Linked DNA regions of Saccharomyces cerevisiae S288C. Changing the gene in region 3 together with the main gene of any one other region gives a genetic interaction. Each region holds a gene or a part of one and is shown on either strand. Other genes may lie near its edges.

Evidence for each region.
Region 1: mutations in SEC28 (region 3) and BRE5 together harm fitness more than expected from each alone (negative genetic interaction), as found in Saccharomyces cerevisiae (4 studies listed by BioGRID).
Region 2: mutations in SEC28 (region 3) and GCS1 together harm fitness more than expected from each alone (negative genetic interaction), as found in Saccharomyces cerevisiae (4 studies listed by BioGRID, with this or other methods).

Annotation. Positions count from the first base shown.
Region 1 is NC_001146.8:716,709-720,466, forward strand, and holds BRE5 (Bre5p), read right to left. Parts: upstream 1,620-3,758; coding exon 72-1,619; downstream 1-71. Other genes in the region: CCR4-NOT core DEDD family RNase subunit POP2, read right to left, coding at 2,638-3,758. UniProt on the Saccharomyces cerevisiae protein: Has a role in de-ubiquitination. In conjunction with UBP3, cleaves ubiquitin, leading to the subsequent mono-ubiquitination of sec23.
Region 2 is NC_001136.10:50,555-54,113, reverse strand, and holds GCS1 (GTPase-activating protein GCS1), read left to right. Parts: upstream 1-1,940; coding exon 1,941-2,999; downstream 3,000-3,559. Other genes in the region: septin SHS1, read right to left, coding at 14-1,669. UniProt on the Saccharomyces cerevisiae protein: GTPase-activating protein (GAP) for ARF1 and ARF2. Involved in intracellular vesicular transport. Required for transport from the trans-Golgi network.
Region 3 is NC_001141.2:214,658-218,206, reverse strand, and holds SEC28 (coatomer subunit epsilon), read right to left. Parts: upstream 1,550-3,549; coding exon 659-1,549; downstream 1-658. Other genes in the region: proteasome regulatory particle base subunit RPN2, read left to right, coding at 1-344; RCI37 (Rci37p), read left to right, coding at 2,254-3,216; threonine--tRNA ligase THS1, read right to left, coding at 3,504-3,549. UniProt on the Saccharomyces cerevisiae protein: The coatomer is a cytosolic protein complex that binds to dilysine motifs and reversibly associates with Golgi non-clathrin-coated vesicles, which further mediate biosynthetic protein transport from the ER, via the Golgi up to the trans Golgi network.

The DNA.
Region 1 (3,758 bases), on a different chromosome or scaffold from region 3:
GATTTTTTTTTTTCTTTTTCAAATTTTTTTATTATTTTTTCAATTTTTCTTTTTAAAAGGCTTGTGGTTGACTAGTCCTTTCTTTTTAGGGGTTGCTTTCTATGAGAACGTGTTCCATTAGTAAATATGCCAGGAGGATTATTGCTCGTGGGCTTCTTTACTGTTTTTCTTTCTAAGCATACTTCAATACCATCAATTGACTTTTTCTTCTTCTCTAAAGCATCGATTTGGCTCTTTTGAGTTTCAAAGTCGACGACGGCAAAATTGTCTGCAGCTGTTATCCTCATAACTTTACCGAATTCTTTTTCTAAGGCACTTCTCAATTTTTCTTCTCTTAAGCCATTTGTACCTCTAATGTAGATTGGATAAAAGCCGTCCTTGTTAACGGTGCTGAATACTGGTTTTTTCTTATTTTTGCTGTTAGCACTAGCGTTGTCCCTCCGATTCCCCATTTCAAATTTTCTTTCAGTCGGTTTCTTGGGTAGTGTTTCAGGTCTGATGTATTCAACCGTGGTATTATTTTTGCTAATTCTGTCGGAGTTTTCATTCATCAACTTTGAGGCCCATGTCATCTTTGGTGGATTCGCAACGGGCTCTGGAGAAGATGAAGGTGTTGAAGCGTTATTGCCGGATTCTTTGGCGTCGGAAACCTGTGGCTCTATTGGTTTAATTTCAGTTTCAGCTTCCTTTACGCCCCCAGGTACCGGTTTTTCATCACTAACTTCTTTACCGTTGGGCAAAGAAGAGTTATTAACAGCATTTATGGCCTCAACAGAGCCTTCCTTTGTCTTGATTGGTGCAGCTTTCTTTTCGGCTTTGTGAGATTTTTCATTTAGTTTAGTAACGTTTCCTAACTCTTCTGTAGAGACCTCATCTTGTTTGTGGTTGCCCTTAGTACTAGATGGTACCGTTTCGGTGTGAATCTTGGACTCTTTAGTGACGGGTATAGCCCGAGGTTGACTATGATCGACAATTGGTTTTTCCTGAGTTGACGATTCAGTTGGCGCAGTTGTGTCTTTGACCGTTTCCTTTTTGGCCTTTGGTTTCGATATTTCTGGTGATTTTTCTTTTTCTTTTTCTTTTTCAACTCCGGACTCATGCCTTATTTTATCTTCTTCAACTGCACTGACAGAGTTCTCCTCGTTAGATTGTGACAAAGAAGCATCTGTTAAGACATAAGGCTTGAATGAATTGGAAATAAATCTGATTATATCATTGGTAATGTCAAACGTAGACCCATTGCTGGATGGTAGCAGGATAAATGTTTGACAAAACTTATAGACCGGAGTTCCTGTCCAAAACATTTCACCCGTGGCCATGATCAGAATGCTTTTGTGCAAGTGCCCAGTGTACTGGAAATCTATAGTATCTAATTTTAGTTTCAAGCTCCTAACTTTGGCATCATTTCTAGAAAAAAACTTATTAATGTTTTCACGTCCAGTAACTTTCACCGTTGGAAGAACGTCATCTTTTTCGTTTGTTGACTTGGACTGATAATTAGTATGCGTCAACTCGGCTGTACTTGCATAAAAATATGCCAATTTGGAAGGGTCGGTCCTCATTCTTTCGTAGTAGTTTTGCAAAAAGGCAAAACATATGTCTTGAACGGTAACACCCATTTTCTTTTATTTGATACTTCTATTCGAGGGTATGACTTCAAATGCAACTATTAGTGACAAGGTAATAAAACTATAACACACTTGAAAAAAAAAATGCGATGGTTTTGTAGTATTCTTCGTGATCTTTTTCTCTTTAAAAATCAACGAAAAATAAAGATGTATCAGTAAAATAAGTTTTCAACAGATTCTCTGTAAAATGATTGACTAATTGAATATTTGAAAGAAAATGAGGTTTGAACGAAAATAATAAAACAAAAAAAAAAATGTAATTAAATGGGCAAAAATGAATTAAAATGTAGGGAAAAAACACAACTTGAAGAATTAAACAGAGTAAAAAAACGAAAGCTTGTGGTAGGTGATATAAATAAATTAAAGCAATATCTTACTGTTTATTCTTCCTCTAGAATAGTTTTGGTACTAACGGTAACTAGAAAACTGAAGAAGTTTTTCGTATTCTTCTAATACTCAAGCAAAATATCCTATGTCAAGTACTACCACTTGTACAGTCTTCGTTTTGTACAAATTAGGTATGAATTGCTCTTTTTTGAAACAGTAATGGGATAAAAAACAAATGACTTAGTTTAACGTCCGCCGGTTGCGATAGAACTTTTAACCGTAACAATAGTAACAGTGGACAGGAAAAAAAAACGGTACGAAAAGGTAATATTGCCTAATCTGAAATAATGTAGTCACTCTAGAACTATTAATAAAGAAGCTTGTACTTCCTCTTATCCCTGGAATGGACGGTTATGCTGCTTGCAATATGTCATTCTTTCATTAATCGCCACCTGATGTTTTTCGCTGCTTTGGACGAAAAAATTTCCAAGAAAAAATAAATGGTTAAACAAACTACAGCGCACGTGACCGATAACTATACGGGAATAACGCATCAATCTCCTGTGGAAGAGTGCTTATTGCATCGAAGAACCAATCTGTATTACTACATGTCCAATCATAAGCTGATGTTGCTTTTAAACTTTTTTTTTTAAAATTGTGTATACATATAGTACATAAATGATCATTGGTCCCCATCAATACCGTATATGACACCTTGGTACTTGGCGAAATCCGTACCGTTTGGGAACTTATGCATAGACAGCTTGCTCAATTGGCAGAAGGATAGAAGCATCAATAGACTCTGGCCGCCTGTAGTAGTAAATATAGAGAATCTTGGTAGCCCTAACTCATCGGCAAGTGTGGTTAGTGAATATTGCTGCTGCTGTTGCTGTTGTGAAGATTGTTGCAATTGAGGGTTCTTGAACTCCTGGATTATTTTATACACCAGGTTTAAGTCGTAGAAATTGGGCATGTATTGATGGACCCACCACTCGAAATCCTCCTTGTTGTTGGGCATGGAGTCATTCATTAGAATGTTGATCAGGAAACCTAGATCATATGCCGCATGGTATGTGATCCAAGTAACAGAATCATCCATCATTAAACCAGAGTCCATTAGAAGCTGCGAAAATTCAAATACATCGATGCCTAAATTTTCGTGTTTTTCGAAGTTGATACCTGATTTTCTGAGTAATTCTAACGATTCTGTGGACATGATTTCCTTCTTTGGGTCAAATTCAAAATTGAACTGCCACGTTGAGGGACCGTTGTCAGGCTTATTGCCGTTGGCGTCACTCAAGGAAAGACCAAGTTGTATTGGGTTTAAGAAGTCTACGTTGGCCCTCATTGTCTGATAGTGGTAATCGACCTTCGACCTGAAAGTGCCGATCGGCCTAGCCAAAGTCCCCACAAACTCAGTACTGATTGACACATGATTATACTGCGAGACCAGTTGTCTTATAACGGCGAATTCACTGTAAAGGTTGGACTTCCAGACATCGCGAACGAAAAGATAATTTGGGGGTGGTAAAAAGATCGGTGGCATACTTTGGTTGGTTAAATGCTTGGGTAGCTGGGAAGCCAAGGGACGATTGAGTCCCACTCCCTGCTGCTGTTGCTGCTGTTGTTGTTGCTGCTGTTGTTGTTGCTGCAGAACGTTCAGTCCGGGCGGCAAACTAGCCACCGAAACAGGCGTTCCTATATTAAATGGCTGCTGTTGTTGTTGCTGTTGCTGTTGTTGCTGAGTTAACAGTGGCTCGTTCTTCTGCTTCAAAAGATAGGCATTGTTCATCTCCTGATTAA
Region 2 (3,559 bases), on a different chromosome or scaffold from region 3:
GTACAGATACAACTCAATCTCTACCCGATGCAATAGAGGCTAAATCAGTATACGTGTCATTTTTTTTAATTTGGCTCCTTGTGCTCTGTTGTAGAGAATTGATTGAAGATGATGAACCGTTTAGTTTATTCTGATTTATTAGTTTTTCCCTCAATTTCAATTCGTGTGCTTTTCTTTCTAATTCTTGAATTCTTTTTTGTAATTCTTTAGCTGACTGGGCCTCTAACTCTTCCAGTTTTTGTTGTCTTGCTAAAATTCTTTCATGTCTCAAGACATATGGAACGGTTTCTGAAATATTTCTTAACTTGGTACGCTCTGGTAAGTCCGGAGAGTTCAAGAATTTTGGTGAAGATTCTGTTTTGATAGATCTTATCAAATTTTCATTTTCTTGTTTTATTTCTCTACCCAACTGTCTCACGGGAGACATTTCCTGTTCATTTTCTGCTGAATCATGTTCGCCATTGTCTTCGTATTCGTTTTCCTTAAAGTTTCCACTTACTTGGTTTCTTGGTGTGTCCGCTCTCAAATTGTTTGCAAGAGTTTGAGAAGAATTGAATTGACCAGTGCTTATCAAAGAGGCAAAGTTGCTTAAACTTGGAGCATTTGACTGTCTCTTTGTAGAATTAGGACCAATTTCTTCAGCGTTGGCCACGGACGATAGTTTTTCGGAACGGTAATTCTCGTAAAGCAAATTTTGCGTGGTGTCTTTGAATTCTTGTAAGTGAGAACCAAACAGGACGTTTTTTAAAACTTTCAAATCCGAAATTTTGTCGTCGTCGATTGATATTATCCCCCACGGATACTCCCTAACGTATCTACCTTCACTATCTCTGGTATCTGAAGTTATAATAGCAAATGGTTGCAAGGATGCCAAGGCTTGATTCTCTTCCATGGATTCCAAATCATCATCTTCAGGGTCAACCTCAAATTTGTAAATTGGGACGTTGTATCTTTCCACATCAAACATAATATTTTTCCTGAATTGAGTTAGCTCCTCCTTGGTGAATGAGTCAGCTCTTGTTATTATTGGCAGTACATTTGTGTATTTGGAGATGCTTTTCATGAGCTCTACATCGACTTCTCTCAGACCGTGTCCAGTGGGTTCAATAAAATATAATGCTACGTGAACCCTGGTGTCCTCAAACCTCGGATTCCTTTTAATTCTGGTTTCCTCAGCTAAAACAATGTCAAATTGTTGTTCTAAATACGACATAACTTCCTCAGAACACAACGAATCGTCCAAGTTTTCGCCTATACCATGCGTCATAATCAAGTTGAAAAACACGGTATCATCCTCGTTCATTTCTGGCTTTCCTTGATCTTTGTTGCCCCCAAGTTCTAATGAAGTGGAGGTGATGGTAATACCTGGTTCCAAATTGGCTCTCATTGGATCGAATTCAGAAACATAAGATGGAATCCCATTTTTCGAATTAAATGAAACAACTTTTGTCGGAGCAATAACTTTTACTTCTGGGTTAGAGCTAATACTAGCATTTGATTTACCGTATTGATACTTATGCGGAAAGATCTTAGTTTCCAATAGATTGTTAGCAAAGGCGGTCTTTCCTGTACCTGCTGGCCCACATAGTAACATTGTGTATGTGATCCCACGTTTATGTTCTTTCTTTCTACGAAATAAGTTAATTGGCGGTGTTGAAGCAGTGCTCATGATTAATAATATATTTTTCTAGCAATTATAAGCAGATCTTTGGGGCTCTTGTTTTATTATTTCACTTGCTGGGTACATTGATCTTGCTCGAAAGCTTGTTATATTCTTTTCGCAGTTTGGCACTTTAAAAATCGCGCGGTTACCCGCAAGCAACGCCAGTTTTTGTCAAGAACCAAATTGCACAACTATATCAAGAATGAAAGCAGAAATATGGACGTGATTCTGAGTTTAAATGGTGCCAATTGAGCAATTTTATCGCGGATTATAGAGCATGTCAGATTGGAAAGTGGACCCAGATACCCGCAGGCGTCTTTTGCAATTGCAAAAGATTGGTGCAAATAAGAAATGTATGGATTGTGGTGCGCCAAATCCACAATGGGCCACGCCTAAGTTTGGAGCTTTCATTTGCCTTGAATGTGCCGGTATCCATAGAGGGCTTGGTGTGCATATATCTTTTGTAAGATCTATCACTATGGATCAGTTTAAACCGGAGGAACTTCTTCGTATGGAAAAAGGTGGTAACGAACCTTTGACTGAATGGTTCAAGTCGCATAATATTGACCTGAGTTTACCACAAAAAGTGAAATACGATAACCCCGTCGCAGAGGATTATAAAGAAAAGTTAACATGTCTTTGCGAAGATAGAGTATTTGAAGAGCGTGAGCATTTGGATTTTGATGCTTCCAAGTTATCAGCAACCTCTCAAACCGCTGCATCCGCTACGCCTGGTGTTGCTCAAAGTCGAGAAGGGACACCACTGGAGAACCGTCGATCTGCAACACCAGCAAACTCTAGTAATGGTGCCAATTTTCAAAAGGAGAAGAACGAAGCTTATTTTGCTGAGCTGGGCAAGAAGAACCAATCTAGACCAGATCATTTGCCCCCTTCTCAAGGTGGTAAATATCAGGGCTTTGGAAGTACACCCGCAAAACCTCCACAAGAACGGTCTGCAGGGTCCAGCAATACTTTGAGCCTGGAAAATTTTCAAGCTGATCCTTTGGGAACATTGAGCAGAGGATGGGGCCTCTTCTCCAGCGCTGTAACCAAATCGTTCGAGGACGTAAACGAAACGGTTATTAAGCCTCACGTCCAGCAATGGCAATCCGGAGAGTTGTCAGAAGAAACGAAGAGAGCAGCTGCCCAGTTTGGCCAAAAGTTTCAAGAAACGAGTAGTTATGGATTCCAAGCATTTAGTAACTTCACTAAAAATTTCAATGGTAATGCAGAGGATAGCTCTACAGCAGGGAATACAACCCATACAGAATATCAAAAGATTGATAATAACGATAAGAAGAATGAACAGGACGAGGACAAATGGGACGATTTCTAATTTTAATATAGTTTTTCTCAACATTCAAGGAAAGTTCAATTCACATTGTAGCTATAATGGAGAAGTGGTTCTGTAAAGTTTACACGTAATACTTCTGTCTCTAAATTTGTATTTTTCATATCTTGACAAGAAGAGGTTTACTCTCTAGGATTATAAATAAGTCTACACCAGTATTCATAAATAGTTACCACAAGGCCATATCGTAAATTATTATACAACCTATTAATTACAAATAGAATTGCAATCCTTTCCCATCGGCGTTGTTGTACTGTTGCAAGGCTAATGACGGCTATTATTAAAAAATGTTTTAGACCTGGGACAATCGTTATCCTTTTCTTCATTATTTGGATGTTTGCGCCTTAAAATTATCCTGGGCACGAGTGAAACAAAGCTAAAACCTTTATTTAGCATGGCCATTGAATGTAACAATTATATATATCGCAAGCACAAAAAATCAAGGAGAGAGAACTACCACTTTGTTCATGTGTACAATGTTCATTATCTCCATAAGCAAAAAAAAAAAATAGAAAACATATGCTATAAGGTTGATATTCTCACGA
Region 3 (3,549 bases):
ATGAGGAAAAAGAAAAGGAAAGAGAGACGAATAAAAAAGGCATAAAAGAAACAAAAGAAAACGACGAAGAATTTTACAAAAATAAGTACTCTTCTAAACCTTATAAAGTCGACAATATGACCCGTATACTACCACAACAATCGAGATATATTTCCTTTATTAAGGACGACAGATTTGTTCCTGTACGTAAATTCAAAGGAAATAACGGTGTGGTGGTTTTAAGAGATAGGGAACCCAAGGAACCTGTAGCACTAATTGAAACTGTTAGGCAAATGAAAGATGTTAACGCTCCACTTCCAACCCCATTTAAGGTCGATGATAATGTCGACTTCCCTAGTGCTTAGATCAAGGGTGCATGGTCGTACAGAAAATGAAGAATTAGTTCAAAATGCCAGAAAATAAATAATAGTGTACATACTTTTAAAAAAAAATCATTGAATTATTCTGCCAGGATTAGCTACTTTACGCATAATTCTAACGTGACAAATGTTGTTTCCGCTTTGTTAATTATACTTTATATGATTTTGTTCAAGCCATGTCAACCTCATTTATGGTACCATCTTATTCGGCTTTATCAAAATAGTATATAGGCATATACATGAAATATTTTTTTCTTTTTCTAAAAAACCTACATGTTTAATGTGAGATATTACGTAAATCAGTTGGACGTATCATATTTCCTCACTAATTCATCGAATTTTGCGTCAATTTCTTGGTGATGCTTGATGAATGCATGTTCGTGATCCAATTTAACCAATTGATTTGTTAAATCTTCAGTATCAAGACCTTGCATAAGAGCAAGCGTAATTTGGTTTGCTAAGAAAGTAGGTTTGTACAATACGGCGTTTTCTTTTTGTTCGACGCTATAGTAGTCAGATAGTAATAGCTCGACAATACCCTGAGCTTCAGCTATGTTTCTTTGCTGTAAATGCAAATTGAGCAATCCCAATTGAGTTTTCCAAGTAGGAAAGGTTTGAGATAGCTCTTCATAGTAGTAAAAGTTGGATGTTGCCGTTTCTTTGTTTGTGGCAAATTTAATGTACGATTCAGCCAGGTTTAAAATCATTTCGTTGTCACCGGAAACAGTATCCTCAATAGCATTAGTGTAGTTATCAAAGATGGTGGACGCGGTCGAAACGTTGTTGTTTAACAAAGCGACTTCGATGGCAAGCAGCAATAATTCTGTAGTCCCTTCTGCTTCGTCATTGTCAATCCCTTCTACACATGTCTCCAAACTTTTATCTAAGTCACCCAAGATAGCTTGAGCCGTGGCTAACAGATATAATTCATATGGTGAATTCTGTTTATCCTTTAACAAATTTTCTAATTCTTCAATGTTTTTTGTATCTAAGAACTGGACGTACAAGTCTAGTACCTTGCCAAGCTTAGAGGTAGGATCTTGTGATTGATATTGGCCTAGAGCTAAAAGGGTTTTCGCCTTGTAGAATAATAAGGTGTTATCTGTGACCTTGCTAAACTTCTCTATTTCCTGCAAACATTGCACGAAGTTCCCCGTGTAGTAATTCTGCTTGATATTAAAGTAATCCATGATTTTTTGTCTGTTTCTATGTTCTCCACCGAGTTCTTCACAATCCGTTCTTATACTGTAGCTTGACGTGTTTTTCTGTAGAAACTGTAGTTTTTCGCTTGACAAAAAACTGAAAAAGAACCAACAAAAAATTAAGATCACCTTAAAAATTAAAAATAGAATATCTTTATCCCATTGAAGACGCTGCATACGCACCTATACAGCAAGACAAAAGATTTTATACAACATTACGGTTCCAATTGAATGTAATGTTACTATATAGTGTGGACACTAAAGAGTGAGATCAGCGGGCGTCCTGATCGTTGCGTTGGAGCCATCTCCTGAATTCCATTTTAGCAACTATTGTTCCGGTATAACCTCTTTTGCAGCCTAGAATGTTGTGAGTACTAAGACAGATACCATTTCACCAGCTTGTGGCTCCCAATTCTTTGACATCAGCAGCACGCTGCTACAGTCGATCTTTGACGAGACGAATTTTAATAGCTAGCGTAACAATCCGTAACAGGAAATTTCGTTCATAGTTACTTGTTTATACATTATTTCCTTCTTTTTCTGTGTTTTTATTTCCGCGGGTGTAAGTCAAGCAAGGGTGAAAGCCTTATGAGCTAATGCTACTTTGACGCAGAACAGAACTTTTTATGTGTCAATGCTTAATATGATTTTCGTTTTAAGGAGCAGCCTAATTTCAAGCGTAGAACAAGGTGATGTTGGGAAAAGAAGAAGAACAGCAATATGGCCAGAATGGTAAGGGAATGGAAAATGAACTACCCTTTATGAAGAGGCCTTGGTTTAAAAAGGCTTATGAAAATGCTATTGAATTTCATGAAAAAGACGAATTGCTGGATGCAAGAGACAGGCTGGAGTTATCGAAGGCCTATAGATCCATTGCTAAAGCTGAGATGTGGGGTGGTTGGCTTGGGTTTTCAGCTGTATTTTTAACTCCATTTGCCTATCGTTACTACAAGACCAAGGCTATTAAAGGTGTTAAGGTGCCGAGGAATTTTGTCTTGGGTGTAATGGCTTTATTTTTTGCTACAAATTTTGCTGGTAGGTCCATGTATACACGACAGTTGAACGAACGTGACCCCACAGGTGTTTTGAAGGATAACTATTCCAACAAATATGGTGACAACGACTTTGGAGCCTTTCAACATGATCAAACAAAAGAAATTCCGAGAAATCAAAGGCAGTACAATATGATGCGCTTATTAGATTCAGGCTCCCCCTCAAGGTGGTCGATGTACTTTTACATAACGTACCAAAATCCGGAGAGAAGATTGCCAGACCCGAAAGTCAAACTGCAGCAAATGAAAAAAGGCGGAGTTTTTAACGGCTCGCCCTTTATGAACCAAAGGGATCCTATAGGATTGTATCGTAATAAGGGTAGAAAATCTCCTGACCCAATTGAAGGAGAGCAAAACGACAGTCCTGTTCTGTCTTCCTGGGAAAAAATCAGGAACGGCGACAACAGTTCGTCTTCATCATGGGAAAATATAAGGAACACCAGTAGAGATCAGTCGCAGGAATCAGATGCTTCAGTGGATCATGAATCCGATATATTTATCTCAGGATTTTCTGACGATGGTAATGCTACCGATAATTCCTCTTCTGATGACAAATATCAGCGTTTACTGCAGAGCGGGAGATATGGTGGGAACCGCTCCTAGACGACGGAGTAATAATAGCGTATGGTCACTAATTTGTATATAGGTATATGTTTGGGCCAAATTCGGCGGGTTCCTGAATTTGTTTTTATATATTCGTAACTTAAACACTGCCGGTGAACACCATCTGCATACCAAATTGCTTTCTTCCATATTGAATTCGCGCACATCTTATCGAAGGAAAAAAAAAGAAGAAATAGTTAATAGAGGTAAGATTCCTTCATCATACTCATTTTATTCTTTACAAAACATAAATTAAATAAGTCAAAATTTAACTACATAAAATCTCATTAAGCTAAGACGTTGTCACCTCTCTTTTCATCTTTCAAGTTACGC